4 linked regions of the Diceros bicornis minor genome follow. The main gene of each other region encodes a partner of the protein of the gene in region 3 in a complex. Links are inferred from orthologs where the notes say so. Each region holds a gene or a part of one and is shown on either strand. Other genes may lie near its edges. The genes, in order: PPIL2, SNW1, SNRPF and ARMC7.

Region 1 (7,288 bases), on a different chromosome or scaffold from region 3:
TCCTGCCCCAGCCCTGGGCGAAAGGGGTGTCGCACTGCGTGAGTAGCAGGGTCCGAGGCGGGGGCGCGAGAAAAGCGGCTCTACTCGGCGGGACTGTGTGGAGGGGTGCAGCCCGGATCCGTGGGCCCTCTCCGGGCAGGGGACTCTGGAAAGGGGGGAAGTCTTTCCGTTCCACTGCTCCAATTTGGGCAGTCGGGCAGAGAATCTGTCAGGACAGAACTCAGAGGCCAACTTGGGTGTCAGGATGAAGGTGATGGGGCCCTGAGCCGGCAGAGGCGCGTCGTCCCGCAATGGGGCCACCCTTCTTGTCCCGGAGCTGCGAGCCGGCTGAGGGCGCAGGGTCGTTGGGCTGTACCCACCCCTGCTCCGGGCGCGAGTGGGCTTCGGCCTGCGGTGGAGCGGGCCTCTCTCCTTTGTGTGTATGCCCCCTCCCCCAATCAGCTCCCACTCTGGAGTTGGAGCTACTCCTCAGTCTGGGGTCTCACCACCGCAATCTGGAGCTGCTCGGGGAAAGTTCAGGTGCCCTGGGGTCCTGAGGACCCCGAGGACGGCAGCCCTGCTGAAATCCCCCTCCCTACCTTGATGTCCAGGACAGGGCCCTGAGCCCCACCCACCCATGGTTGAGCTTCCCGCCCTGCATGTATTGGGGGCTGTGGAGGTCCCCCCTGCTGGCTGCAGGTGCTCTGACGATGTTGCACTACTGTGCTCTGAGAAGCAGTGCAATGATATTGTCAAAGCATCTGGGACCAGCCTTGGGGACCTCCCTCCCCCATACTCCCCCTACCCCTCCCCAGGCCTGGTCTCTTGGGCTTGCAGGCCCTCCCCTCCCCCCTGCCCAGCTCACTCCCTTCTCCATGGAAACTTGAGATCCTAGCCAGGCCTGGGCCTCCGGGGTCAGAGGGCACCCTTCCCCCAATCAGAGGCCCCGCCCTACTGGGCCTGCGTTCCAGGTCTCAGATCCCCCACCCACCTCCGGAGGAGAAGCACTGGCAGGCCTGCCTGACACTCTTTCCCTGTTGCACTACTGTGGGCTGCTGGGAAGCAGTGCAATGATGAAAGGGCATCAGTCAGGCCCAGCCCCACCACAGCACTCAGGAGGAGGGAGTTTTGCAGCCTCACTCCACTTCCAGCAGTTAGGCGCAGGGGCGGAGCTGGGGTAGACCCTCCATCAGAGGATCAGGTGAGTGCAGAGCTGAGGGATCACCCCACAAGCGCTCCATCTGGGTCATGGTTGGACAGGTGCAGGGACAGAGACCGCAGATTTAGAAAAGCTCTGGTTTGAAGAGGATCTTTCCACAGCAGCTCCCCAGCTAAGACTGGGGGCTCCAGATTTGGTCAGGGCCTTGTTGCAAAATAGAGGCCCACTGCTTTGCATGGAGGGTCTGCCAGGGCCTGACTCAGACCCAGCTCAACCTTGACCATGTGGAGGTGAACTGGACCCAGCCCGCCTTCAAGGCTTGGGGAAGACCAGGCTCTGGAGGGAATGTTCTCCTGGGTTCTCAGCAGGAGCAGTACTATCTGGGGTGGGGGGTCGACTTGGGATACGAAGCCTGCAGGCGATGCCCACCAACCACGCCAGCTTGTTCTCTTACAGGGAGATCTGCTGCCCTGAGCCTGCAGGAGAACCTGTGAGGTACCTGACCTGCCCACCCTCACAGCTGGAGTTGGGAAGATTGGAGCTGAACTGCCAAGGAGCCTGGCCCCAGGCATGCTTGCAGGGCCACCTCCACCATCGAGACCTGACACAATGCGAAAAGTTTTTATGCGCCCAGTGACAGTCATTCAAGCCTGTCTCCTTAAGAGGAGGCCCAGGTCTCCAGATGGGCATTTGGGATTACCCCTCACCCCTGGCTGAGCACATCAAGACACCAGCTTCACCTCTACCTGGGTGGTGGAAGTCTTGGCATCCAAGGGGAGGAAGAGGGATAATGACACATGCTCCTTTCTGTCCTGGGCTTGACCCCTTGGGGTTCCTCCATCCCAAGGCCACTTGACTCAGGCCTGTCCTCCTTTCCCCTGGGCTCCAGGTGCCATGGCTGGAGGTGGCCACCCTTACTCCTGTGCAGATTCTGTACCCACTGGCTGGACATCCCCTTGCAGCTGTCTCCTGCCCTTGCTGGCAGAGGCGTGTTAACTCAGGGCCCTGCTCAAATGTTCCCTCCTAGGGGAAGCCTTTCCTGGGCTCCACATCATTCAATGTTCCTCCAGCAAAGCCTGTTAGATTGAAATATTCTCCCTGTGGCTGAAGACGTCATTAGACTGGGAGCTTCTGAGTGCAGGGACTATGTCATTTTTTCTTTCTCTTGGCAGTATCTGACACAGAGGAGGGGCCCAAAACACTTTTTTTTTTTTGCTGAGGAAGATTGACCCTGAGCTAACATCCGTGCCCACCTTCCTCTACTTTATATGGGATGCCGCCATAGCATGGCTTGATATGTGATGCGTCTGCACCTGGGCTCCGAACCTTCGAACCCTGGGCTGCCGAAGCGGAGCACGCGAACTTAACAGCTACACCACTGGGCCAGCCCCACCAAAACACTTTCTAAAAATACAAATAAACATACAAAGTGTGAAGTATTATTAGCATACCACGATAGGGGAGAGTTTAATCAAGAGTCTGCTTGACCCCTCAGAGGATGCTTGTCCTGCTTATAAAAAGGTACATACTAAATACGTTAAAGTCAAGTCTCATTTTGTAAGTCCCACAGGGTCAGGAAGCGGAATGGAGATTTGAACCCAGGTGTATCTAAGTCTACCTGCACCCCTAGACAAACACAAAGGCCAGGCCTTCTTTCTCCTTGGTTGTCCCCACCGTGCTCTCTGACCTCAAAGCAGGAAAAAGTGAGTGCCACCTCCTCTGTTGGGGAGAGCTGAGGCTAGCCGGCTGGTGGTTTGGCGGAGGGAAGTGAAAAATCTCCTTAGACTTCTCAGGAACACTCCATGTATCTCAGGGCTGATGGGGGGGTGGAGGGGACAGGAGCGAGCAGTCCAGGGTGCACCTCCTTCATTAGTGGCAGAGTGGGTGGTGGTGTCAGTGCTGACCAAGTAGGAGAGGGTGAAGAGAAGCAGGTTTTGGGGTTGGAGGGAAGGTTTTGGGGTGTGCCAATCTGGATGTGTTCAGCATGAACGCCCCAGAAACGTCCCTTTAGGACACTCAGATGTGGGTCTGGAGCTCAAGTGAGGTCTGAGCCTGAGACTCAGGTTAGGGTTAGTTAAGTCAGCTCTGGGTTGGGACCAAGAAGTAGGGAAGATTGATCAAGATGGTAGGGTGAAGACAGGACCTTTTGAAACGCATAAGGAGCCGCTGGAGACGCCAGTGAAGAGGCCACAGCGAGTATGGAGCAAAGAAGTGGTTATGAAGGGGAGGAGAGAGGGTAGAAGCTGGAGGGGGCCGGGGGGTTGATGCTGGGAAGTGAGTCAGGAGAGGAAGAGGGTAGAGTCCAGGGATAGAGGAGTTAGGGGCAGAGTGAAGTGCTTGGGGTGCTGTCTACACACGGTGAAGAGGGGAAGCAGCCAGAAGCGGAAGGGACTGGAGGCTGGCCGAGGGGTGAGGGCCTTAAAGAAGTTGGAAGAGTTGGGGTGCGGACCGTGTTCTTGGCGTGGCCGTTGGCCGGCCCTGATCAAAGCTCTGCCGGATCCTAGCGCGATAGGGCCTCCGCCGAGCGCAGCTGCGTTCGCCCCGTCGAAGGCGCGACAGCGCATGCCCAGAGAGGGGGCATTGTCACGTGCGGCCGTCTGGCAGGGAAGGGCCCCGCCCGCGATCTAGGGGGGATTGGCTGGAGCGGTTGATCGCAGAGGGGGCCGGCGGCGGTTGGATGGAGAGCTGGTACGTCTCCGCGGTCCCCGCCCGGACGGGCCCTCTCAGATGGAGGTCCTGGACGAGTTCGACAGCGAGATGCCCCCGAGCGTGACCTTCTGCCAGCGCATCTCCGAGGAGGACTTCGAGAGACAGGCGACGACCTACACCAAGCGCGCGCTGCGCCGCCTCTTCCGCAGCATCGACCGCAACCCGAAGCTGGCCGAGCGAGTGGTGCGCAAGGGCAAGCAGGCCGAGTGCGAGCGGCGCGGGCTCCTCTCCTTCCTCTGGGTGCGGGCCGGCGGGCGGGCTGCGGGGAGGGGGGACCAGGGGGCGGGTGCTGTCATCACTCCCGCTCCTGCCCTGTAGGGCGGAGATTGGGGGTGGGGGGGGCCGTCGGGCCTTCCTGGAGCTGCAGGGTAGGGTCTCCCAGAAGCCTGAGGCGGCCCAGCTTGGGGAGTGCAGCGGGCAGGCGTCTCACCCGTCTGGCGTCCTCCCGCTGCTGTCGCAGGGAAGTTCTGTGCTGTCCAGGGGGAGCTGAACTACTGCAACTGCGTGGGCGCCGGGGAGATACATCGGCGCCTGGAGCAGCTGAGGAGGAGCATCTACCGCGCGCACCTCTACTCCCAGGGTGAGGCCCACCCTGTGTCTGGCTCCAGCAACCCAGCAAACCTGACTCAGGGCCCCTTGTCCCTGGTCCTGTGGTTGGCACTTTTTTCTAAATTTGGTGTTTATTTTAAAAGTCTATTATGAAAATGAACATACACAAAACTAGAGACTGCAGTAAACACGCGAGTACCCTTCACCCAGCATCAGCGGCTGTCCCCATCTCACCGTGCTTGTTTCATTCTCTAGATCCCCTTTTTCTTTTTCTGGAGCATTTTAAGGGAAATCTCAGACATCATTGTATTCCTGAATACTTTATTTATTTATAATTTTATTTATGTATTTATTTTTCCCCCAAAGCCCCAGTAGATAGTTGTATGTCATAGCTGCACATCCTTCTAGTTGCTCTATGTGGGACGCCGCCTCAGCGTGGCTGGAGAAGCGGTGCGTTGGTCCGCCCCCGGGATCCCAACCTGGGCCGCCAGCAGCGGAGGGCACGCACTTAATTGCTAAGCCACAGGGCCGGCCCTCCTGAATACTTTAGAATGCTTCTTAATAAAAAAAAGACAGTTTCTGACATAAATCACGATATTACTGCTGATATAATTGACAACAATTCCCTAATATTAGCTGATACTTACTTAGTCCATAGTCAGAACTCCTGGATGGTCCACAAAAATCTTTCTACACTTGGTCTGTCGTGTCAGGACCCAACAAGGCCCACATGCTGTGTTCATGTTAGGCCTCTTAGGTTCTTTCTCACTAGGGTGACCATATAATTTGTGTCCACATCGGGGCACTTGTAAGAGTGAAATGCAAGGGGGCCATGTTAGTGACCACACAGGGATGGCAAACAAGGATCTGTGGCCAGGTCTGTGGAAGTCCCTTTGAAGTGAGATACCCTTACTTTCCCTCTCATGCCACTGACTCAAAGATCTGTGTTGTCCTTCGGGGTATCCCACTTCATGGGTTTAGATCTGCTGTCATAGTCCACTGGTGGTGTTTGCTTTGCTCCCCTCTGCCTGTATTTCTCAGACAGTGGCTCTGAAGCCTTGATCTGATTCAGGTTCAGTGATAGACCACAGCAGTCCTGGGGCTACTTTCTTCTCCATCCCATTGGGAGGCCCAGCTTACTTGGGGGTCCCCCTTTCTGTGATGCTGGGTGTGAGTGCTCCACGTCACCATTTCATCTGACGGCTGGTCCTACAGCACACGTAGCTCTTACCCGAGGTAGCATTAGTGTTATTTATCCTTGTTTTGTAGAAGAGGAAATAGAGGCCCAGGGAGGTTGGCCAACGTGCAAGGTCACATAGTAAGTAGGAGAGTCTGGACTTGAACTCAGGTCTGGGTGCTCCAAGGCGCAGTCTCTTAGGCCAGTGCTCCCTGGTGGTGGTGATTGTCACTCTAGGTGAGCCACTCTGATGGGCTGTATGAGGAGCTTGTTAACACCCACTTTGCTGGTAGTCTCCAACTTTGAACAGTAGAAATAGCCAGACTCGTCAAATCCAGGAGGGAGACCTAACACGGAGGGAAGAGAGGGGGCTCACTCAAGAGTTCTGCCCCTCAAAGATTCCCTCCCTGAGCCCACCTCTGCAAGACCTAGTTCATGTGGGTTTCCTAATAGAGGAAGGGCCCTTTGCACACCCCCAGGATGGCCCTGGGGCTGGGTGTAGTCAGTGCGCTCTCTGTCTAGGGCCTGGATGCTCCATGAGGGTGCTGGCAGACTCAGGAGCTTTCCGTGATGCTTGGGGGGTTGGGTAGCAGACCAACCTGCCTGGGCCAAGCCCAGCCCTCGATGGCTGTGACACTCTGTCACTTCCTATGAAATTCTGGCCTTGAAGTCAGACAGCCCAGGCATGGATCCTGTGTGTGTCTTGTACAGTTAGAGCTTCCGGTCCCGCTTGTAAGATAGAAACAAAAGTACCCTTTCCCCGTGGGATAGTTGTGGGCTCGGTGAGGTGATGCTTGTTGGCGCCCATCGACAGCGGCTCCAAGCATTGTTATGTGGTGCCCTTTGGCGGGGGCCTACCTCTCTTCCTTGTTGGAGGGACTGTGTGAAGACCCCACACCACTGTGTTTGGCCCGCACTCTATCCTATTCTGGCCATGGAGTAGGCACTCATTGGCACCTTTTGTCACAGATGCCAAGAAGAGGAGGAAGCGGAAGTTGAAAAAACCAGAACCCATTCTCTTGAGGCACCGGTCAACCTCCCTGTGTCTGCCACCAACCCTGGTGCCACCTCTGCCACTGCCACCACCTGCCACCACCATGGCCTCCGAGGTGGCTCCATCGCCTTCTGTCTGCACTATGCCCAGGGTTTTTGGTCCTTACAATCCGCTGCCCTGCAGGTTGGTCAGTGGGCACATCCCCCACTCTGTGCGGCCCTGGGAGGGACCGCCTCTGCCCTCTGCTCAGAACCACCCCAGCAGCTCTCCCACACCCACAACAGTGGCTCTCAGAACTTTGTTTTAAGCAGGAGAACGCTCTGCAGGGTTGAGTCTTGAGTGGAACTGCACCAGATAAAGCAGATAGGAGGGGGCTGCTCTGGTTGGAGAATTGGGGTGGGGTTGAAGGCACAGCTCCACCTGCTTGGCCTCAGCCGAGCAAGGTAGCCCCAAGCGTACCGGGCAGAATCCTGGGGCTCCCAACATACAGGTAGAGAACCATGCCCCCCATGTCTCCAGTCCCACACCCTTAGCCCCACACCCACCTCTCCCTGTGGATGTCATTCTCCATGCCACCTCTAAGTGCCTCCCTAATGCCCTTCCGAACCACCTGCCCCTCCTGACTCCTGCTTATTCTACACTCTCACTGCAGGCAGCGCCCCAGCCCCCAGGCTGGGTTAGGACCTCTTCGGTCAGCTCCCAGCTCCCATCCCGTCCCTTG
Region 2 (6,944 bases), on a different chromosome or scaffold from region 3:
ATGTCTCTGCTCAATTATACCTCCCTAGAGCAGATTTCTGTCCACCTTGTCCAAAACAGCACTCCATCCCACGCTTTCAGTCACTCTCTATCCCTTCATCTTTAACTCCTACTATTCACTACCTAGGATTGCATTATTGATTTGTTTACTCATATATAGTCTGTCTCTCCTAGAACGTAAGCTCTGTGAGGATAAGGAGTTTGCCTGGCTGATTCAATACTGTAAAACCATCAATAGAAGAGTGCCAGGCACACAGTAGACCTTCAACAAATATTTACTAACAGAATGAAGGAATGGATGGATGAACGGAGTCAAAAGTTTTGGGCTTTTACCGTAGTTGTTTTCAGTAAACCATATATACCCAATACACAGGACAGAGACAAAGACAGTTACAAAGAAGCTAAAATATTTACTTCTATTTCATTTTTCTTTTCTTTTCTTTACCCTCTGTTGGAAGAACTGGTCACTAAAATGATGAAAAGGCAAGCAGCCTGCCAAAGCAAACAGTTTGGACAATCCAGTAAACAGGTAACCTGGCCTGGATTGAGGTCAGAATATACTTAAGTTTTCCAGAGGGTCTTAACTTTGTTGTTCCCTGTAAAGGATGACATTCCCACAAAGAGGCACACTCCTGGGGAAGGGGGGTACATAGGGGGCTGCGAATGTAAGGAGAAAGTCTACCCGAGTGGTTCTCAACTGGGGGCAAAATATCTACAATGCAGCTATTTGACAATATCTGGAGACATTCTGATGGTCAGGACTTGGGGGTAAGGGGCGGGACGAGGGTGATGATGCCAGTGGTATCTAGTGGGTAGAGGCCAAAGATGCTGCCAAACATCTCACCACGCACAGGACAGCCCCATGCAAGAATGAACTATCCACTCCAAAACGTCAATAGTGCCACTGTTAAGACATTTTGGTCTACCCTTTCCCCTTTACTAAAGAAAGTATATTAAATGCAAGCGATATTATTAGATACATAACCTTAAAAACACTTGAATTTAGAAAATTAAATCAATATGACTTTATTTAAATTGAGGTAACACTCGTATATAACATTATATAAATTTCAGGTATATATCATTATATTTCAATTTCTGTGTAGATTACATCATGTCCATCACCTAAAGACTAATTACCATCTCAGTATGACTTTATTTTTTTTTTTGAGGAAGATTGGCCCTGAGCTAACATCTGTTGCCAATCTTCCTCTTTTTCTTTTTTCTCCTCAAAGTCCCCGTACATAGTTGTATATCCTAGTTGTAGGTCCTTCTAGTTCTTCTACGTGGGAAGCTGCCTCAGCATGGCTTGATGAGCAGTGAGTAGGTCCCACGCCCAGGATCTGAACTGGTGAACCCAGGGCTGCCTAAGCAGAATGTGCGAACTTAACCACTACGTCACTGGGCTGGCCCCTCAGTATGACCTTAAATCTTTAGTTAGTAACAATCACGGGTGACACCAAGACTGCAACACATCAGTATGTCAAGTCCCTGCTGTTAAGAATCCCTGGTAAATCTTGGAGATAACAACACTTCACCTGGAAACTTGAGACCATCTCTAAAAACCAGATCAGTCAGAACTAACTCAACAAAATCAGAAAGCTATGTAGTCCCCTAGACTAGCCATTTAAAGATTGCACTCTGCCACTGTAATTTTAAGCACACAGTACCCACAACATCTCTGGTATTTTTCCTGTGTGTCTTTCTCAAATTCCACCTTTTCCACAAAACCTTTCCTCATAACCCTACTAATCTTTGTCACTGTGCCTCCCACCTGGAGAGCACTCAAACGTTTGCTGCCTGTAACATTTACTAATGGAAACTCTCCAGTTCATTCAGCTCACTTCATCTATTTCTTTTTGCACGTAAGTTAGTACTACACAAATAAGCATTTTGTGTTGTTCTTTGTTTCATATCTGTATGCCTTGTTACCACATCTTCCCTGCAGCCAAAGACTGTCAGATTTCCTTTTGCATACACACAAGCCCTGGGATAGCGCAAGGCACTCAAAAGTAATTCCCAAAAGAATTTTCTGATTAAAACATTTTTAGGATTCACAACTGTCGTCAACCAGGAAACGTACATGTGAGGAGAATGAGATGTGTTTAGGGAGCTCAAGCGGATGTCCTAAAATGATTCCTTTCTTTATAACCCTCTTTGACACACAACTTTTCCTGCTGCGTTCCCATGGAAAGTTTTTCTACTTAGATGGGGCAGCTAGGTCGCGGACTAGTGCAAGTTACGTAACTTCTTGGAATCTCCCAGTTAGGCAACTTTTTCTCAAAGGCAGGGACCACTTTACATGCAGTTACCGAGGCAACCGGGAACAGCAAAAATCTGAAGTGTTTCTACCTACGGAAGAAATTCTAAGGTTCAAAGTTGAAGTGCGGAGCAGCGGCGCGAATTAGTGGACAGCGGCCACTACTGTGGCTACTTGAAAATCTCTGTTCAGTGCCAGGCCCCCTTTTTTTTCAGGAAATCTTGTTTCGGGACAGAGACGGGAGAGAGACTTCGGCAGACAAACGGCCGGAAGACCGCTTCACTCCGCCCAGACAAACAAGCCACTGCCCTCCATACCCCATCGCGCCCACCCGAGCCGCGGACCCGAGGGAGCGCTCTCCACACCCCCAAGATGCTTAAGCCAAAAACACGTGGGACTCCTCGGCACCTGAGGCCACAGAACTCTTCGCCACGCCGCGGCTTTCGGCCCCATCGAGGGGGCGAACTCAACCCGGGAAGCCGCTCAGGAAAGACCCCAGCTTCGGCGAGGCCTAGTCGCCCCGGCGGCCGGCGGGAGGGCCTAGCCGTGATCTCGGCCAACGCTGCTCTGTGCCCCAGGCCGGGTCACCGCCCGGAGAGTGTGGGCAGAGAAAAGAAAAAGGTGGGTACTCCCAGACCCTTCCGTATCGAGGACCCGAATCAACAACCCACCTGGTGAGCGCCATCTTCTTCCGCTTCTTCCAGCGCGAGCGACAGCACCGCGGGGCGGGTCTTTCCCGGCGACAAGGAGGGGAAAGGAAGGCGCGCGCAACGCGCAGGCGCCGTAGACGAGGGCCTTCTGGGATTTGTAGTTCTTTGAACAAGAGACCTATTCGGTTCTCATCTAACGAGACCGAGCGGTTATAAAGGCATAAGCGCTTCGGTTAAGAAAAGCAAATGCATCGCTCGTACACTGTGACATGAGAGGGCGTTCCCTAGGCAAAATAAAGAAGTTGAGATGCTTTTTAAGCCGCTTTATTTTATTTCCCACTCAGTCTCGTTCTCCTTGTAGGAGTCTCAAATACAAGAGCCTTCCCGGGACGGCAACGTTATATAAAAGGGTGACAGGGTTTTAAAACAATAGGAAATCGTGAGACTGGCGAATGGAGAATTAATTCTTGGACGCTCTGAAAACATTCACACTCAAAACTTTTCTTTAAACGCTATCCCCTACCCCCTTACCTATCCCCCAAAACACTCTCCTGGGGAGGTATTGTGTGACCCTTAGTAAGTAGCCTTTAGTAGAACACTCCTCATGTGTATTATGTATGTATGTTTTTATGTGTATGTGTTTTAGATTGATTATGTGTTTTACATAGATTATGGATTAAACATAATCTTTGATGAAGTGATAGGATAAATGAAATCTGCTTCAAAATATTGGAGAGAGGGAAGTGGGAGGAGTACAGATGAAATGAAAATAGCCATGAGTTTTGATCATTGTTGAAACTGGATAATGGAGAAATGGATGTTCATTATACTATTCTCTCTACTTTTGTATATGTTTGAAATTTTCCCTGATAAAGAGTAGAAACAAACTTTTAATTGCAGTATAGCACACATATAGAAAGGTGCATACATTCTAAGTGTACAGCTCTTTGAATATTCCCAAGCCAAACACTTGTTTGAGCAGCAGAAGCACCCCCGACCCAGGATCATTTGATTTCTGGTGTGACAAGATGTTCTAGGCTCATCTAGTACTTTTTCTGCCTCAGACCTGGAATCAACCATTTCTCCAAGGAGCCCTCTTTTAAGTGGGAAAGTGATATTTAGAGAAAACAATCTGGATGCTACGAATGTTCATTGTAACTGAGTTGATTATTGTTTGCCTTTTCAGTGGATAGAGCTAAAAAATTCACATAAACATATTTTTTGAGAAAATGCATCATTCATTCATACTAATATATTCAATACAAATTTAGGATTACACAGATTTTACTTAAGTTTGATTTTATATGCATTTCTCTTCTGAAAATCTGGTCTAATGGTATTAACATAATTACTCATTTGCTTTATTCTACTATATATAAAATAGTATTCAGAATAACATTACTAATATGGTTACTAAACATATGCTTAGTGGTAATAGTTTCTGATTTTTTTTTTCAATTCTTTTTGTCATTAGGGTATCTCTCTCTAGGCATATATAGTCAAATTACATCGCTTTATAATTTTATTTATTTATTTATTTTTTCCCCCAAAGCCCCAGTAGATAGTTGTATGTCATAGCTGCATATCCTTCTAGTTGCTGTATGTGGGACGCGGCCTCAGCATGGCCGGAGAAGCGGTGCCTCAGTGCGCGCCCGGGATCCGAACCTGGGCCGCCAGCAGCGGAGCGCGCGCACTTAACCGCTAAGCCATGGGGCTGGCCCAAATTACATTGCTTTAAAGTGACTTAGAATAATTCCTCTGTGTGTGATTGTGCGGCTAACTTGATACCCAGTTAGTTTATTTATTTCATTTTGTTTTGGATTTTTAGTGGTTGCTTTTTTAAAAAAAATAGTTTTGTGAAACAGTTACGTGGTTTCAAAGCCAAAATTTACCAAACAGGTAGTGCATTTAGAGAAGTCTACATTCTTACCTTGTCTCTTCCATCCTTTTCCTTCCTTTCCCTGTAGATAACCTTTAAAAAAATATTTTTTATGGTTTATCCTTACATTTAAAAGTATACACAAATACATATATATTTGTATACTTCTCTTTCTTTTTTAGATAAATGGTAGATACCATACACACTTTTCTCCACCTTGCTTTTTTCTACTTATTAAAATACCTTGGAGATCACTCCTTTGCAGTATATAGAGATTATGTTGGAGATTTTGAGCAGAGAAGACACAAGATCTGACTTATATTTTAAGAAGGTCATTATGCGTGCTTTGTTAAAAATGGACTCCAAGAAGCAAGGGAGGAAATGGGGAGACCAGTTGGGTGGCTTTTGCAATAATTTAGGGGAGAGATGCTGATAGCTTAGGCAGGGAGTTAGTGGTAGAGATGGTAAGAAGAGATTGGAATCTGGATCTGTTTTGAAGGTATAACCAACAAATTTTGATGATGGTGTTGATGTGAAGTATGGAGGAGAGTAATCAAGGATGACTCCAAGGTTTTTCCCTGAGCAGTTAGAAGGATAGAGTTGCCATTTACTGAGATGGGAACACTGCAAGAGTGTCATGTTTGTGGGGAAACATCAGGAATTTGGTTTTGAACATGTTACATTTGAAATACTTATTAGATGGCCAAATAAATATGTCAAGTAGGCAGTTTATATGTAAGTTTGAAGTGTGGGGGGAAGTTCTGGGCTGGAGACCTTTGGAGGCAGATGGTATTTAAATTCATGGTACCAGATGAGATTACCCAGGAAAAGCGAGTGTAGGTACAGAAGAGAAGTGGTCCAAGGACAGGCTTCTAGAATGAACTCCAGTGTATAGAGGTTGGGGAGATGAGGAGGAACCGGGAAAGGAGACTGAGAAGGAATGGCCAGAGGTTTGATCAATGCAACCAGGAGAGAAAGCATCAGTCTCTCTTTTGGATCAGAAGCTGTACGTTTGTAGGCTTGAGTTACCAGTATCTATCTTTCCTGGCATTATAGCAAGAGCCTGTAACAGGGAAGAATAAAGCCACCATGCAAAAAGAAAGAGAAACCAGAAGGGTGAAGAGAAGGAGAGTAAGAGATTGACAGATGTTGAGATCTCTGACAATATTATGGGAGTTCCTGGGTCCAGCAGTGCCCGAAGACCACACCACCTTGAATCTTTTTTAATTAAGTGAGCCAATAAATGATTTTGTTGGCTTAAGCTAGTTTGAGTTGATTCTCTATCATTTGCAATGGAAAGGAATTTATACAGTGTTTATTTTCTGTGCTCCCATAAGACTTGTTCTTCCCGCATTCTTAACATTTATCACACTTTGTAGATTTTGATGGTTTACATGACTGCAAGGAAGATTGAATCTCTCTCACCATTGTATCCCTATCACCTTTGCCTGCACGATTTTGGTAAGTCCTCAACCCTCACTGGATTTCAGATTCCTTGTCTATAAAAGGACAGAATGGGCCCGGATAATATAAAAGATCCTTTCAAGTATCAAGATCCTTTGATTCTTGGTACTTTTGTCTACTTTTTCAACTTCTAGAGGTTTAAAAATTTGCTATTCCATGAACTATTGATAAACACAACAACTTAGACAAATCTCAAAGGCATCAAGCTGAGTGAAAGAAGCCAGTCTCAAAAGATTACATATTATGTGATTTCATTTATGACATTCTTGAAAAGATAAATCTATAGCGACAGAGAACAGATCAGTGTTGCCAGGGATTGGGGTGGAGGAAGTAATTGACCACCGTAAGGAAATTTTTTGGGGTGATGGAATTGTTCTGCATCCTGATTGTGATGATGATTACATGCATCTATACATGTGTTAAAATTTATAGAACTGTACACCAAAAAAGTCAGTTTTACTGTATGACAATTCAAAAAAATAAAATTTAGGGGCTGGCCCGAAGGTATAGTGGTTAAGTTTGCGCACTCTGCTTCAGCAGCTCGGGGTTTGCAAGTTTGGATACCGGGCATGGACCTACATGCCGCTCATCAAGCCATGCTGTGGCAGTGTCCCGTATACAAAGTAGAGGAAGACTGGCACAGATGTTAGCCCCGGGACCATCTTCCTCAAGCAAAAAGAGGAAGATTGGCA
Region 3 (7,146 bases):
TCCTGGAAATGGATAATAGTGATGGATGCACAACAATATGAATGTACTTAATGACAGATGTACACTTGAAAATGGCTAAAGTGGTAAATTTTATGTTATATATATTTTACCACAATAAAAAGAAAAAAACCTGGCTGAAATAATTACAGAAGCTAGTTTATCCTTTGGCTGATCTGTCTTCTTCCTCAAGAAATGCTTTTATGGAATTACTCTGATGTTGTGCCATAAGCATTTATTAAAAGACTTAAGAACTTCACTTTGGGCCGGCCCTGTGGCTTGGTGGTTAAGTGCGCGCGCTGCGATGCTGGTGGGCCCGGGGTTCGGATCCCGGGTGCGCATCGAGGCACCACTTCTCCGTTCATCCTGAGGCCGAGTCCTACATACAGCAACTAGAAGGATGTGCAGCTACGACATACAACTATCCACTGGGGCTTTGGGGGGAAAAAATAAAATAAATAAAATCTTTAAAAAAAAAAAAAAAAAAAGAATTTCACTTGAAAAATTTCTTTCAGAGCTAAGTCCTGGGAAATGTTTTACTTTTTCCACAAACTAGTGTGTTTTCCTTATGGCACTGTGAATCAATTGCCTGAGCTCTTCTTATTTTAACCACTAGGAGCCAAATCTGCGGCTGAATTTTGGTTTAACACCATGTTTCATACATAGTATATCACAGTTATAACATCTTCCTTGGCCTTGACTTTATTCCTAAATTTGGCTTTATGTTTGTCAATTTAATTGATTGTATTCCTCTAAGTCACACTAAACCTTTGAGGTGTAAGATGAAGCAAAATAAATACCATTTAATGATCTTATAACTCTTTAGCTTACCTGCATGTTCATATAGCCATCTACAGATACCAGGTAGCCTTTGTACTCCATTCCCCACTTAAGTTTCACCATTACTGGCTTTCCTGTTAATCCATTGAGGAAAGGTTTGGGATTGAGGGGCAAACTCTGCACAAAGAACAAAAAAAAGACTCAATTGATTATTTTTCCTTAGATCGGCTTCCTCTACCTACCCTCCTCTACCAAATCACCAATATTTGAAGGTATCAAAATGAAGCAAACTCTTGACACCCTCTCACTTTACTACATAATTTTCACTTTTATTTGTTGAAGAGCATCAGAGAAATTTAAATACCCAGTAAGACAATTTCACCTTCAACACATCAAAACTTATAAAAGTATAAAAGTATTCATTATTCACTTAAGAAACACTGAATGCCTACTATGCATCACTCAATGTTCCAGGCTATAAAGAAACAAAGATAAAGGCAGTAAAAAAAAAAAAAAAAGAAAGAAAGAAATGCAGATGACACTGCCTGTCTTCAAGAAGCTCACAGTGGGAGAGGGAGGGGCAAAACACATACAAATAGACAATTATATGTACTGCAATGTAGTAAGAGGTGATGTGCTATTTACAAAGGTACCAAACCAATCTAGGATTAAGAGAAAAGGAAAGGTTGCCTGAAATAAGTAATGCCTCTATTTTAAAAGGATGAGAGGTATTTCCCAGAGGGAAAAAGGGCTGCTCTAGGCAGAAGAGGCTGCCTATGCAAAAGGAGGTAAGAGTGAAGCAACAAGGTGATCTCAGGGATATACAAACAATTCAGTATTGTCAGAGTCCCAAATATGAGGCTACAGAAGGAAGCAGGGGGCAGATTACACTTGACAAAATTTCACTTGAATTCTAGGAACTAGGACTGGGTCTTAACTTGACTTAGTGCCTCCTACATATGGGCAATCACTTAATGTTTATTCAGCAAACCAATAGTGTCCCCAGTGAATTCACCTTTTTCCTTCCCTCACTCTTCTGCTCACCCATCAGCCCAAAGAAAGAAAAGCACCAGAAACCTGGTTACTAAACCCGTCTACCATAAGCATATTCACAGTGATCTCAAAAGACACGTAGACTACTGCAATAACCTCCTAATGGGTCTCCAGTTTTCACTCTCTTCTTTCTCCAACTTATTATCCACCCGGCAAGTATTATTTGTATCACTCATATGTCTCTGCTTAAAATACTTCCATGGCTTCCAATTACATTTGGAGTAGAATCCAGCCCTCCTAATAAGGCTGAAGAGATCTTATCCGACCCTATCTCATAACCACCATTCTTGCAAGCGGCTGTGGCTTTCTGTCAATTTCTCCAACTGGTCAAGCTTTCTTTCCGGCCTTAGGGCCTATGTTCCCGTTTCCCGTGCTTGGTACACCTTCCCTCCTGCTCTTTTAGCGGCTATTTCATATCATTTAGGTTTCAGGTTAAATCCCTCCTCCCAGGGATGCCATCCCTGACCACTCTTCTAATATACCATCGCGCCCCCTCACAGCATCCTGTTTGTTGCTTCCTTCTTAGTACTTAACACTATTTGCAATTACATATTTCTGTTATTATGTGATTAACGTCTGTCTTTCACACGCGACTGAGTTAACCTAGAGAAGGGCCCGCTTCAGCACTTTTCACCTTATATTCCCAGCGCCTAGAACAGTATCTGGCAGGTTGCATGCGCTCAATAACTATTTGCTAAACGAACAAATGAACGCTCCAAAGCCTGGGTTCTGGGTTCCTGAGGGCTGCGGGGCTGGAAGCCCCAACATCCTGGAAAGAACACCGATTTTGGAGTGTGATAAGCGGGACGTGAAACACCGCTTCATCTTTACCCCGACCCTGTGGCCCCAGGCAGTAAAGATATCTCAGGCTCAGCTGCAGACGAAGAAAAGACGGAAGGGGACAGGGGCACTCCCGGGGAGGGGAAGGCATTGGCAGGAGCGCGCGCCTCAGACCCCCGGAGCAGGGAGAAAAGGGCTGGCGACCGGGTTCGCGGCGCCTCACGCGGATGAATGGGAAACGCGCGAACCAGCCACCAGGCCCGGCGAGGCTAGTCGCCCGCCCTCTCTCTCTCTCCGGCGACTCCGTGCGTTCTCTTCCTCCTTACCATCACGACTACCGGCAAATGCTGCAGGCCACTCGCCGCCGACCCAGCTGTCGTCCGTCCCTTGTGACTGCAGCAACTACGGCAATAGCCGAACCAGGGAGCTTCAAAAGAAATGGCCGCCGAACAGCAGTGTGACCTTTCACCTCCGACTTCAGCTCTTCTACCTTCTGTGATTGGACGCAAAGAGATGCGTGCTGATTGGAGGAGGTGGCTGGGCAGTGTCTCTTGGCAACGAGTAGTAAGGCGCGCTTTTGGGCCTTCCCGGGGGCGCGCTGGCCTGTGGGAAACCAAAGGCGGCTGAACTCAGCCGGGAGCGTGTCTGCGAGGCTGCAGAGGCAGTGAGGTCGGCCCGGGCTTCTCCTCTGGTCACCTGCCTCGAGGATTCTTCCGAGAGATGCTCTGTACCCTATAGAGAGGACGTAATTGCGCGCCCTAAGCCAGTGGGGGGTTTCCTTTGTCCCTTTACACCTTTAAGAGCCCCTTTTACACACTTGGGGCTCTCGAGTTTCTTCCTCACTTTCCCACGGGTTGTATAATTTGGGGGCTCCTCTGCCACGGTCCCCGTCTACCTGACTGTTCTCTCTTCTGTAATGCTCATTTCAACCACTTTAAAGGAAGTGAGAGAAGCCAGACCAGACTAAGAGAGGTGAAACGCACCGAAGAAAGTCAAGTACAGAATGAGGGCAAATTGAGTCTAGAATATGGTGTGGTGGTTTCCCTGTCGCTCTGTTCCTTTTGCATCGCCAGCGGAGACCCGGTACAGGCGTTTTATGTGCATATGTAATTAAGGACGTGGGGATGTTTGCTCTTTCACCAATCGACCCTTTTGATGTAACGCTGTTTGTCAGAATCGCACTTCTTTTTCCCCCCCGGTACAGACTTTGAGCTCACTCTGATCTGAAATGCTAAATGCAGTTCTCGGAGAAGCGCGCTCAGAGTAGTAAGTTTTTTGTTTTTGCTTTTGCGGCCCTAAGGAGATGAATTTGGAACTGAGATTTAAATGTTGCGTGTCGAGACATATGGAGTAGTGGGTAAGACTTGGGAGGCAGCCTGAGTTCAGAACGTCCGTCCATCTCATGGAGATGGTGTTGGGCAGTTTCTTAACCCCCTAAGGCTTTTGTTTCCTCAGTTGTACGTGGCTTTAAAAACTCTAGTACTGTCCACAGGGTTGTAAGGTTTAAATAATTAATGTGAAAGAGATTGGGACTGTGCTTGGCCTGTAAGGGCTCAGTAGATATTAACTGTTATTTTAATATTGTCCATGTAAATGTAGGAGAACAGTGACAACCACAGTAATTTTCTTTTAGAGTAGTTTATGCCAAGCAGTTGGGATTATTTACCCCAAAGTTCAGTAGGTTTTTCCCTTGGTTCAGGATCGTTTAGTGAATATTTAGCCTTTGTACAGACTTGGAGTTCCTACTATGTGCCAGGGTCCTTCACAATTATTATAATGGAAATCTTACTACTCAGTCTGTGATTTGGTGGTTATGGTCCCATTTTAGAGATGAGGAAACAGGTCAGCAAGTAACTTGCTCAGGGCCACACAGCTAGGTTTCAACCTGAAAACTCTTGGCTTTTTCTGCTTCATAAAGCTGCCTTTTGAAAGATCAATAGATATTTTAGAAGTCTGACTTTTTTTTTTAGCTCTTTTCTCAATGAAGTGAAACAAAATATTACCATAATCTACGTAATGATAGTTGTGTTTAAAGTCGTTTTTTGTCTTCATGTTAAATATTAATCTTACCTTATCGAAAATAAAGTGGGCATAAGGTGATTGGTATTTTTCTAATTATAAATGCCATACATACGTTTTGTGAGAATTTGGAAAATATAGAAAGTTCTAAAACAAAAATCACTAGTATCACCAATCAAAGAAAACAACTGTCAACTTTTTTGGTGTACTATTTATTGTAACACATGCACTTTTTTTTTTACAAGATTTTACATGTAGTTTTTAAGCTTTTCTTCACTTTATATTGAGCAAATTCTCATATAATTATTCTTCTAAAATGGAGTTTAATGTCTTATGCATTTTTTATTCTATATTATGCATATGTGATAATTTATTAATCATTCTACTGTTTTCATTTCCCCCATTATAGACAATGTGCTTTGAACATACTTTTACACGAGCCTTTGAGTGTATCTTTGATTCTTTACAATAAATCCTTAGAAATATAATTCCTGGGTTAAAGGCATTATTATTTTAAAGGCTTTTAAAAATATATATTGCCATGTTACCCTATGGCTCAACAGAATACCCGTCAGAATAATTGGTTCTAATATGGAGGAAGTAACAGGGTTTATATTTTCTGAAGATGAGATAGATTACATTTTGAGCACATTCTGGGGAAATGGTCCCTAATTATTAATTAGGGTGAACACTTCGGTAAGGCCTTCTACTGCTGCGCAGCATATAACCCAAAACTTCCAGTGATAAACAAACATCTAAAAAGTAGTTGATTAAATGACCAAGAAATATTTACTGAGGTGCATAAAATGGATGTGATCTCTGCCCTCATGGAACTTGAAAACCTTTTTGAGAAGAAGGGAACCAATACATATTTAGTGCCTGCCATGTTATGCCAGGATATTTCATGTAATTTACCTTATTTAAATCCTACAGCACTTCCAGGTAGGCATTATTAGCCCCATTTTCGAGATGAGGAGACAGATTCAGAGGGGTTATATATTTTTGCTGAAGGCTGTGTAGAAGGTGAAATGTCTCCAAAGCCTGAGATTTTTTCCTTTACACTGCCTCTCCTCAAAATGTGTTTGAGTAGAGTACAAATAAACAAATATATAGAAGTACAAATATAAATGCAAGATGAAGGGGGATAAAGTTTAGAAAGTTACTTTTGAAATTGATGAACTCTTCCTTTTCTTTTCTTTTTTTTTTTTTTTGTGATGAAGATCGGCCCTGAGCTAACATCTGCCAATCCTCCTCTTTTTGCTGAGGAAGACCACCGTGGGCTAACATCCATGCCCGTCTTCCTCCGCTTTATATGGGACGCCGCCACAGCATGGCTTAACAAGTGGTGCGTCGGTGCGCGCCGGGATCCGAACCAGTGAACCCTGAACCGGCGAACCCCAGACCACCGCAGTGGAGTGCGCGCACTTAACCACTTGCGCCACCGGGCCCGCCCCATCCTTTCATTTTCTTTATTCCCGTAATCTCAACATTTTATTTTTCTATGATTATGGTCAGAATCAGTTATGGCCAGAGTAGATTTAAAGGGGTGGGAGTGAGGCAAGATTTGAGTGCCTCTGTCTGGTAGGAGCTTTACATTATCTCAAACCTGAGAGACGTGGTATTTTGTCTAGTGAAGAAATTAAGACCCAAATATATTAATTTCCTCAATCATACAGCCTCTAAACCTAGATTAGAATCCGAGTCTTTTTGGTGATTCAAAGCGCATACTCTTTCTACCATTGTAGAGAGAGAATCAGACCTCATAGGAAACCTGGTGTTGTGGTTAGGAGCTAAGTGTGCTCCAGTTCTTGAGTCGGCATTGATGAATCACTGAATTTTAAACTTAGGACAGAACGCTAGAGATACCTCGTCTAAACCTCTAATTTTGTAGATGATGAAAGTATGGTCATACCTGAGTTAGAGATAGACCCAGAATAGCCTCTTTCAGTTGAATGCTTTTCTCATATTAAGCTACATTCTTTATCTTCTGCTTTATTCTACAAGTGATTGAAGTGGCCTATAAAAAACAACAAAAGGAAATAATGAAGTAGTGAAGGATGAAGGGAAAGTAATAGAACCAGATATAACATTAGAATACAGACATCTACATCATATTGCCTTATGCACTGGCTACTGAGGGGCTGCGCATTTATCTCTAAACTCTATAGAGTCCTAGCAAAGAGTAATGATTGGTTACATGATCCAGTTTCCATAATATATTTTTGTAATTATTCAGGAAAAGCACAGTTGTTTCTATTACTGTGATCGGAAAGAAATTCCTCCCATGGTGTCAAGCCCATGTTCCCTATAAAATGGACCCGGAGGAAAAATTTAAATGTCAGTACTTTATTGGCAGGCACAATTCCAGGGCAGTAAAAGTGAAGCAAAAAGGTAAGACGGGGAGGAATGAGAAGCAAATACTAGGTTTTACATTATTGAACTGGCCACTGCTCCTTCATAGAAACAGCCAGTTGCTTGGCCATGCAGGATATCTCTGGACAGGCTTTATCGAAATAT
Region 4 (7,937 bases), on a different chromosome or scaffold from region 3:
CTGGAGGAGCTGGGCTGGAGGGGCACCTTCCTTGTCTTCGGTGGGGTCTTTCTCCACTGCTGTGTCTCCGGGGCAATCATGAGGCCTGTGGCCACCAGCATGGCCCCTGAGACCAGAAAAGGCCTCCCTCCACCTTCCAAGACACCTGCGCCCGGCTGCCCGGCAGCGTGTAGCCGGGCCATACAGCGCCACCTGGCCTTCGACATCTTGCGGCACAACACAGGCTACCGTGTGTACACGCTAGGTGTCGTGTGGATGATCGTGGGTTTCCCGCTGCCGCATATCTTCCTGGTGCCATACGCCATACGGCATGGGGTGGACGAGCACCGGGCAGCCCTGCTCATCTCCATCATCGGCTTTAGCAACATCTTTCTACGGCCCATGGCTGGGCTGATGGCAGGCCGGCGGGACTTTGCTGGCCACCGCAAGTACCTGTTCAGCCTGGCAGCCCTGCTCAACGGGCTCACCAACCTGGTGTGCACAGTGTCGGCTGACTTCCGGGTGCTGGTGGGCTACTGCCTGGTGTACAGCGTGTCCATGAGTGGCATTGGTGCCCTCCTCTTCCAGGTCCTCATGGACATTGTCCCCATGGATCAGTTCTCCAGGGCCCTGGGCCTCTTCACTGTCCTGGAGAGCATCTCCATCCTCATCGCCCCACCACTGGCTGGTGAGGCCCTGGGAGGGAGGGCAGTTGGGTGTGCGTGGGTGTGGCCTGGGTGGGCAGGCTATGGGGGTGGGACAAAGGGAAACGGTCTGGATAGATTTGGGCCCCATCCAGCATCCCAGAGGTAGACTTGGAATTTCTGATTTTCCCAAGCACCCCAGGGGACTGGCTACTGCCTGTCCCCCAACTGGTGCTCAGGGTATGAACAGTTACAAATAAGGGTCTTTGGTACCAGACTTACCTGAGTCCTTCCTCCTCCTCTTTGTACCTATGTTTTCGTATCAGCAAAGTGGGGATGGTCATAGAATCTACCTGGTAGGCTTGCTGTGAGGACTGCAAGTTACACAGTAAAGAGCTTGGAGAGCCTGGCACACTGTGAGTGCTATGCAGGAGGAGGTTGGGGTGGGCCCAGTGCATGACTGAGCAGATACCCCAGACTCCACTGGCCCTTGTGTCCTTGGTTTCCTGCCACCAAGGGTGAGGGAGACATGCCCTTCAGTGTTCTTCCAGCCCGAGAACTCTTCCAGCCTGGGCCAGAGCAGGGTTAGTGTTTCCTCTCCTTTCATTCAACAAATTATCTATTGAGAGCCTACTAGGTCCCAGCCACAATTCCTAGTACTAGGGATACAGCAGAGACAAAAATAAAATCCCTGCTCTAGCAGAGCACAGTGTAGTGGTGAGGGGGCTAGTAGCCCCAGGCAGTGGCCTAACTTGCTGTCTGTCCCCCAGGGTTCTTCCTGGACATCTCTGACAACAACTTCAGCTATGTTTTCTACATGTCAAGCTTCTTCCTCATCTCAGGCGCCCTCTTCATGGGTGGTAGCTTCTGTGCCCTGCGGAAGAAAGAGAGGCAGGGCAGGCAGGCCGAGGGGGAAGGAGCCATCACGGAGGCTGCGCTGGAGCAGACCCTCACCGTGGAAGGCACAGATGGTTCCAAGAAGCAGGTGTACACTGAAATCATGTATGTGACCAGCCTCTGAGCCCTGGGATCACATGTGTGACCAGCATCTGAGCCCTGAGGTCAGTGAGTGACCACTGCCTCAGCCCAGGAATGGGATGTCCAGCTGCCTTGCCAGGAGCTGGGGTGAGAGCTGCCCCCAGGAAGCCTGAACCAAAGGCGATCCAGGCTTTGCACGTTGGGACTCAGCCAGGAGCTGGAACCTTGGAGGCTGGCCTCCGAAGACTCAGGGTTCCTTGCAACTAGCAGAATCCAGGAGCGGGTCCTCCTGAGTTTTATCCTTGGTACCAGAGTACCTGGGGCCCAGGAAGTTGGGGCTGAGCCCTGCTCCCGTCTGTCATGGCCAGGTCAGCTCAGCTGGCTGCCCACTACTGCTGCTACAGCTCAACACACTGGACCTCCTAGTCCAGCCCGGATGCCTCTGATGTGATCTCTTTGTCCTTCTCCGGCCTCCAGACAGTTCCAAAGAACTCACCCGTCCTCTGAGGCCCTTCTGTCCCCCTCTTCCCAAGCGACCCGGCCCTTGCCCTTAGAACTGCCTCCAGAACAGGTTGCTGTGCCCCACGTTGACTGGAACCTTGGGAAGAAGGGCCTTGTGAAAGAAGGAGTTGTGGCCTGCAGCGGTGGAGGGCCAGGCTAGGGTTTGGACAGATTAAATCTTTGGGTAGAGTGCCTGTCCTGGTGTCTGTGCAAAGAACTGGAGGAGAGCATTGGGTCCTAGAATCAGTGAAGTCTGAGAGGTCCCCCTGCACACTCAGCAAGGTCTGCTTCAGGGTCTCCCTCCCTCTGCCCCACCCTCTATCTTGGCTGGGAAGATTAGTGCCAGGGTTGGGGGAAGCTAGACATTTGACTGACCAGGGGAGGGGCAGGATTGCTGGGCAGGGCCCAAGGACCTCTGTGAAAATGGAGCTGCTTTTTGCAACAAAAGCCCTTCCACTCCCCTCTCCTGCCCTTCTCTTCTCCCTCCTATGTCAGAGGTGTCATCCCTGGGGTAAGTAGCTGGCTGGGACAGCTGTCAGTCCACCCCTGCTCCCTGTTGGCCTATGCATGTGGCCTGGAGGTCAGAACCACCCCCCCCACCCCACCCCCCCACCCCCGCCAACACACACACACTGTTTTTCCTGGTGCCCTTCCCTGAGCTCATCACCTGGGGGCTGGCTGTCATCAGCCCAGGCTTGTCCCAGCAGGGTACCAACAGAGGGAATAGAAAAACAGAGTTTGTTTGAATTACACACAAAAATGTTTTCTGCAGCAGGTTATATAAACCCTGTGAACTAATGAAGCTGGAAAACAGGCCTGGAGTAAGTTTCCCCCTCCCCCTTCAGTTCTCCCAGCTCAGCAAGGGCTGCACTCACCCAGAACCTTATTTGTTGATTCAAGCTCAGCCAGGCTCCAACAAGAAAACCTTATCAGGAGAATTGATTTTATTTTCATGACCCGGCTCCAACTGGGATGAGTAAGCATCCTTGGGGATGTCCTGTCTTCTCCAGGACCCTGTCATGAGTGCCCCCTTATGGCGAAAGATGGTAGTGCAGAGGTGAAGCAAAGGGCTCTGGGGTGGGATAGACCTCAGTTCATGTTTGGCTCTGCCACAATTTGCTCTAGGACTTTGGGCAAATTGTTCACCATCTCTGGGCTTTCAGAAAGGAGGAGGTTGGCCTGGATAAGCACAAGTCTCTTCCAGTTTGAAAAGTCTGACCCCCATTGCCTTCCTGCTCCCCACCCAGTCCTGCGCTTGGCCACCAGCCACAGCTTGTGCACTGGAGGGGGAATGCTGGGACACATTTTACCAGGTCTTGTCTCACCTATCTTAATTGAGTGGAAGAGGAAGGAGTTGGGGCTGGTGGGTAGGTGAATGCTTCCAGTGCTAGCAGCCATCTGGCTTTGAAATGTGCATCCTCTAATAGGCCCCTATCCTTAAAAAAAATTTCTTTTAAGGAAAAAAGATATCAGTGAACATTCAGCATAGGGGACTTTGAGCTCATCTGCCCTCGGGCAAGAGTGGCAATAATCTCTGGGCAGAATTCCTTCAACAAATATTTATTGGGCATCTACTGTGTGCTAGGGACTGGGCAGAGAGGAGTAAGACCTGGTTGCTGCCCTCAGCACAAAACCAGGGACTGAGAATTATTCCCCAAGGAGGGCCTCTGAGGCCTTGGCAAGGAACAAATAAGGGAGGATAGGGTGACCCATCTGATGCCAGAACCCACACTTAGCTGATTTCCCGGAAATCCCCTAGAGAGGGTCTGGAGCAGTTCCTGAGCAGCACAGGGTGGAGCTCACTGCCATCCTGTCCCCAAGCCCTGAGCTCCTGGTCCCCAGGCCTTCGCTGCTCTGTCCAGCCAAAGGCAGAGAAGCCCCCTGATACCTTGGGCTAAGATGTACTTCCCTAGGTCACATCAGTTCCCCAAAGAAGCTGAAGGGCCTGGCGAGGGGCCTGGGGCCACCACCCCCATGGAGCAGCCACAGTACCCAAGCACCCAGACTATGGTCATAACTCCTGCCCCAGGGGGCATGCATAGAGCAGGGGCTGACCACAGGGACCTAAGCCCACAGAGGTGGGGCCTGTGGAGGCTGGAGTGTGGCAGCCACTCTGCCCTCATGCCAGGCCCAGGAACAAAGGTACATGGGCCTTGCCCTCAAGAAGCTCACAGCCCAAGCCCCTTTAACCCCTACATTTTCAAGCATGGTTGGAGTGCAGCAGGGCCACCTCTCTCCCTGGTGCTCTATTCCCTGTGCCTACAGGGTCTCGGTCACACACCATCTTCCTGAGAGGCCCGAGAAAGAATTAGGCTGAAGGGCTTCAGCATTCAAGGCTGCACAACCCAGAAAGCCGCTAAAGCGGTGCATTTGGGTGAACTGAGGTTCCTACGGCCCGTTGGTGCTGCCCCAGCGCTCCCCGTCCACCTGGCTGACAAACCCAGTTCCGGAGACTTCTGGCCAGAGGTGGCGGACTCAGCTCGGGGCTGCGGAGCAGACGGTTTTTGCAAAAGCCGAGCAAGAGGTAGTGTCAAAGGACCCATCTTGGGGGCGCAGGGAGCCGAGCCCGCGTCCCTTGGTCGAGGAGGCTGAGCTGCGTCTTCTCCTCAGGTGCAAGGGGGTCTGGAGATGCTTCTGCCTCGACAGCCCCCCACATGTACACCCTCCGCCGCCTCTGAGCTCCCAAGGACCCTAGAGGTGCTCATCAATGCATACATAACTCTCCAACGCCCTTCGCCGCGACCCCGGCAGTAAGGCGAGAAGCGGAACGCGCACGCGCGCCGAGCTCAGCACAGGCCCCGCCCTTCGCCCGCTTCAGCCCGCCCCTTCCGCCCTCTGGAGCGGAGGTAAGCGTGCCTTCCACCGGAAGCCCGGAATCGAGCTGAAAATCAAGCCCAGCGGAGGAGTGCTGCGTACCGCGACTACCTCTTCCAGCGCACAGCGCAGTCCTTGTCTTTCACGCCGCAATTTAGATTTTTCACGCCCAACTCTTACAAGATCCTGAGGCCCCACCCCATCCTCCTCATCCCAATTCCACCTGCAAATTACTGCATAACCTGAACCCAGAAAAGGAAGATATTTCGCGCCCCGGTCCGCCCTTACCCTTATCGGTAGAGGCCCGGACAGGTTCTCTCCCGGCTTTTCCGGCCTCACCTCCCACACTCTCCTGCCTGTGCGCTGGAGGTCCTCCGCCTCCCCGACCATGGCCCAGAAGCCGAAGGTAGACCCCCACGTTGGGCGCCTGGGGTACCTGCAGGCGCTGGTCACGGAATTCCAGGAGACGGAGAGCCCAGGTGAGAGCGGCAGGATGGGGTCGGGACGGGGCGGGGGTCTGGCCGCGGCCGCCGCCCGGGACCTGGCTCCAGTTCTGCTTTTCCGCTGCAGACGCCAAGGAACAAGTCCTGGCCAACCTCGCCAATTTCGCCTATGATCCCAGCAATTACCAGTATCTGCGGCAGCTGCAGGTCCTTGATTTATTCCTCGATTCGCTGTCGGAGGAGAATGAGACCCTGGTGGAGTTTGCTATTGGTAAGGATGGGGCTGGGCCCCCAGATGCCTGATGGGCTGTGGTGAGGTAAGTGAGTGAGAAGTGAGTCGTTGGGAAAGGAATCTCTTAGGCAGTCCCTCAGCTGCCAAGGCAGACCTTCGCGATGTCTGTGCCGCCTCCGCGGTTCACGCATCGTCCAGGTCACAGCTAGCTTGAGTCAGGTCTGGAACTCACGCCCAGGACTCCCTCTGCCTGTCTGCCTTCCCTCCTGCTTAGAGATGAAGTCATAAAGGAGGGAATGGATTGAAGCCAGTTGGAGGGAAAAAAGTTTAAAAAGTGATCCTTCAAACATCTTTATTTTAATGTTTTACTATCAAGAACAGCAGAGGTAACTTGGAATGTGTAGCTTATGGTTCGTGTAGTTCTTATGGTCTAAGACCTGTTGAATTATTCACTGGACAGATATTTATTGGGCATGTACTGTATGAGCAAGGTACTGTTCTAAATGCTGGTGAGATGGTGAACAAGTTGGGCAAAGGTCTTTGCTCTCAAGGAGCTTCCATTCTAGTAGGGGAGACAGATGGTGAGCAAACAAAAAAAAAAAGCTGAGGCTCTGAAGGAAATAAACAGGGTGATGAGACAGAGCAGTCGGAGCTGGGGACTACTTCTGTTTGGGCCATCATGGGAAGGCATTTAGGGAAAACCCTACAGCAGGAGGAGCCAGAAGGCTGGAGTGGCAGGATTGTGGTGAGTGAAGCGGGGAGTGGTAGAAAATGAGGTTCGAGAGGTCATTGGCACCAGAGCTTACAGGGGCTTAGAGGTAGGCCATGGGAAAGAGTTTGAAATTTATTCTGAGGGCAAACAAAAATTCTTTTTTCAGCATGCATGTTTTAAAAATAACATTTCTCTACATAGTGAAAGGAATCTTATTCATGTAGGGAAAGAAACCTACCTTTAATAATTCCATTATTACCTAATACACAGTTATGTGAATTTCTCTAATAGTTCCCAAAAGGACATTTTGTTTGTTTGTGTAAGCCGGGATCCAATCTGGGATCCATGCATTTCATCTGGTTATATTCCTTAGATCTTTATCTCTCGCTCTTTTTAAATAAACTTTTATTTTAGAACAGTTTTAGGAAAATTGCAAAGATAATACAGAGAGTTCCTCTATGTGCCATACCCAGTTTCCCCTCTTATTAACATCTTAGTGTGGCACATTTGTTACAATTAATAAACCAATATTGATAAATTATTATTAACTCTACATTATTATTAACTCAAGTCCATACTTTATTCAGATTTCCTTAGTTTTTCCCTAATGTCCTTTTACTGTTCCAGGATCCCATTCATACTACATTACATTTAGTTGTCACGTCTCCTTAGGCTCCTCTGGGCTGTGTCGGTTTCTTAGACTTTTCCTTTTTTTTGATGACCTTGACAGTTTTGAGGAGTACTCGTCAGGAATTTTGTAGATTATCCCTCAATTGGGATTTGTCTGATGTTTTTCTCATGATCAGGCTGCATTATGGGTTTGGGGAGGGTGACCCAGGTAAAATGCCAGCCTCGTCGCATCATATCAAGAGTACATGCTGTCAATATGACTTATCACTGTTGATGATGACCTTGATCCCCTGGCTGAGGTAGTATTTGTCAGGTTTCTCCGCTGTAAATTACTCTCCCCACCCTTTCCATATTGTGTTCTTTGGAAGGAAGTCACTACGTAAATTATCTTATATCTCTTTTAATCATTAATAGACTTTTTTTATTTTTTATTTTTTATTTTTATTTTTATTTTTTTTATAATTTTATTTATTTTTTTTCCCCCCAAAGCCCCAGTAGACAGTTGCGTGTCATAGTTGCACATCCTTCCAGTTACCGTATGTGGGACACGGTCTCAGCATGGCCGGAGAAGGGGTGCGTCGGTGCGTGCCAGGGATCGAACCCAGGCCGCCAGCAGCGGAGCGCGCACACTTAACTGCTAAGCCACGGGGCCAGGCCAGACTCTTTTTTTAATATCACTAATTGTGGAAGGATCCAGGTTAGTTCTTCAGTTCTGCAAAATGTCCCACCTTCTGAATTGTCTGGTTGCCTCTCTTGGGCTTTATTTGGTTTGTTCCTCTATCCCCTTCCCGTTTATTTCCTGTAACCTAGAAATTAGATTGAAGGCCTTGGTAGAATCAAGCAACACTTTTTTTTTTTTTTTTTTTGCTGAATACATCATAGGTAAGTGTAATTTAAGTTTTTGAAAGACCATCCAGGTCTGCCCCTGTGTTTGTGATATCTGGGGCTAGAGTACAAATGGGCGTTGGCCTACCTTCTCTTCTCACACACGTGTGTGGACATCC

The links.
Region 1: SNRPF (region 3) and PPIL2 share a complex: the UniProt entries of both Homo sapiens proteins name them as parts of the minor spliceosome. The link is inferred for Diceros bicornis minor from reciprocal best matches to the Homo sapiens genes SNRPF and PPIL2.
Region 2: SNRPF (region 3) and SNW1 share a complex: the UniProt entries of both Homo sapiens proteins name them as parts of the minor spliceosome. The link is inferred for Diceros bicornis minor from reciprocal best matches to the Homo sapiens genes SNRPF and SNW1.
Region 4: SNRPF (region 3) and ARMC7 share a complex: the UniProt entries of both Homo sapiens proteins name them as parts of the minor spliceosome. The link is inferred for Diceros bicornis minor from reciprocal best matches to the Homo sapiens genes SNRPF and ARMC7.

The regions. Positions count from the first base shown.
Region 1 is NC_080774.1:30,150,992-30,158,279, forward strand, and holds the start of PPIL2 (RING-type E3 ubiquitin-protein ligase PPIL2), read left to right. Parts: upstream 1-4,275; 5' UTR 4,276-4,427; intron 4,428-6,542; 5' UTR 6,543-6,670; coding exon 6,671-6,754; intron 6,755-7,288. UniProt on the Homo sapiens protein: Has a ubiquitin-protein ligase activity acting as an E3 ubiquitin protein ligase or as an ubiquitin-ubiquitin ligase promoting elongation of ubiquitin chains on substrates.
Region 2 is NC_080763.1:25,536,580-25,543,523, forward strand, and holds the start of SNW1 (SNW domain-containing protein 1), read right to left. Parts: upstream 3,002-6,944; 5' UTR 2,945-3,001; coding exon 2,931-2,944; intron 2,881-2,930; coding exon of another isoform or gene 2,632-2,880; exon of another isoform or gene 2,338-2,631; intron 1-2,337. Other genes in the region: ADCK1 (aarF domain-containing protein kinase 1), read left to right, coding at 2,632-2,880, 6,168-6,249. UniProt on the Homo sapiens protein: Involved in pre-mRNA splicing as component of the spliceosome. As a component of the minor spliceosome, involved in the splicing of U12-type introns in pre-mRNAs.
Region 3 is NC_080764.1:26,526,249-26,533,394, forward strand, and holds the start of SNRPF (small nuclear ribonucleoprotein F), read right to left. Parts: upstream 3,018-7,146; 5' UTR 2,940-3,017; coding exon 2,937-2,939; intron 955-2,936; coding exon 829-954; intron 1-828. UniProt on the Homo sapiens protein: Plays a role in pre-mRNA splicing as a core component of the spliceosomal U1, U2, U4 and U5 small nuclear ribonucleoproteins (snRNPs), the building blocks of the spliceosome.
Region 4 is NC_080757.1:55,646,407-55,654,343, forward strand, and holds the start of ARMC7 (armadillo repeat-containing protein 7), read left to right. Parts: upstream 1-4,933; 5' UTR 4,934-5,304; coding exon 5,305-5,395; intron 5,396-5,486; coding exon 5,487-5,630; coding exon of another isoform or gene 5,631-5,662; exon of another isoform or gene 5,663-5,676; intron 5,677-7,937. Other genes in the region: SLC16A5 (monocarboxylate transporter 6), read left to right, coding at 1-667, 1,394-1,644. UniProt on the Homo sapiens protein: As a component of the minor spliceosome, involved in the splicing of U12-type introns in pre-mRNAs.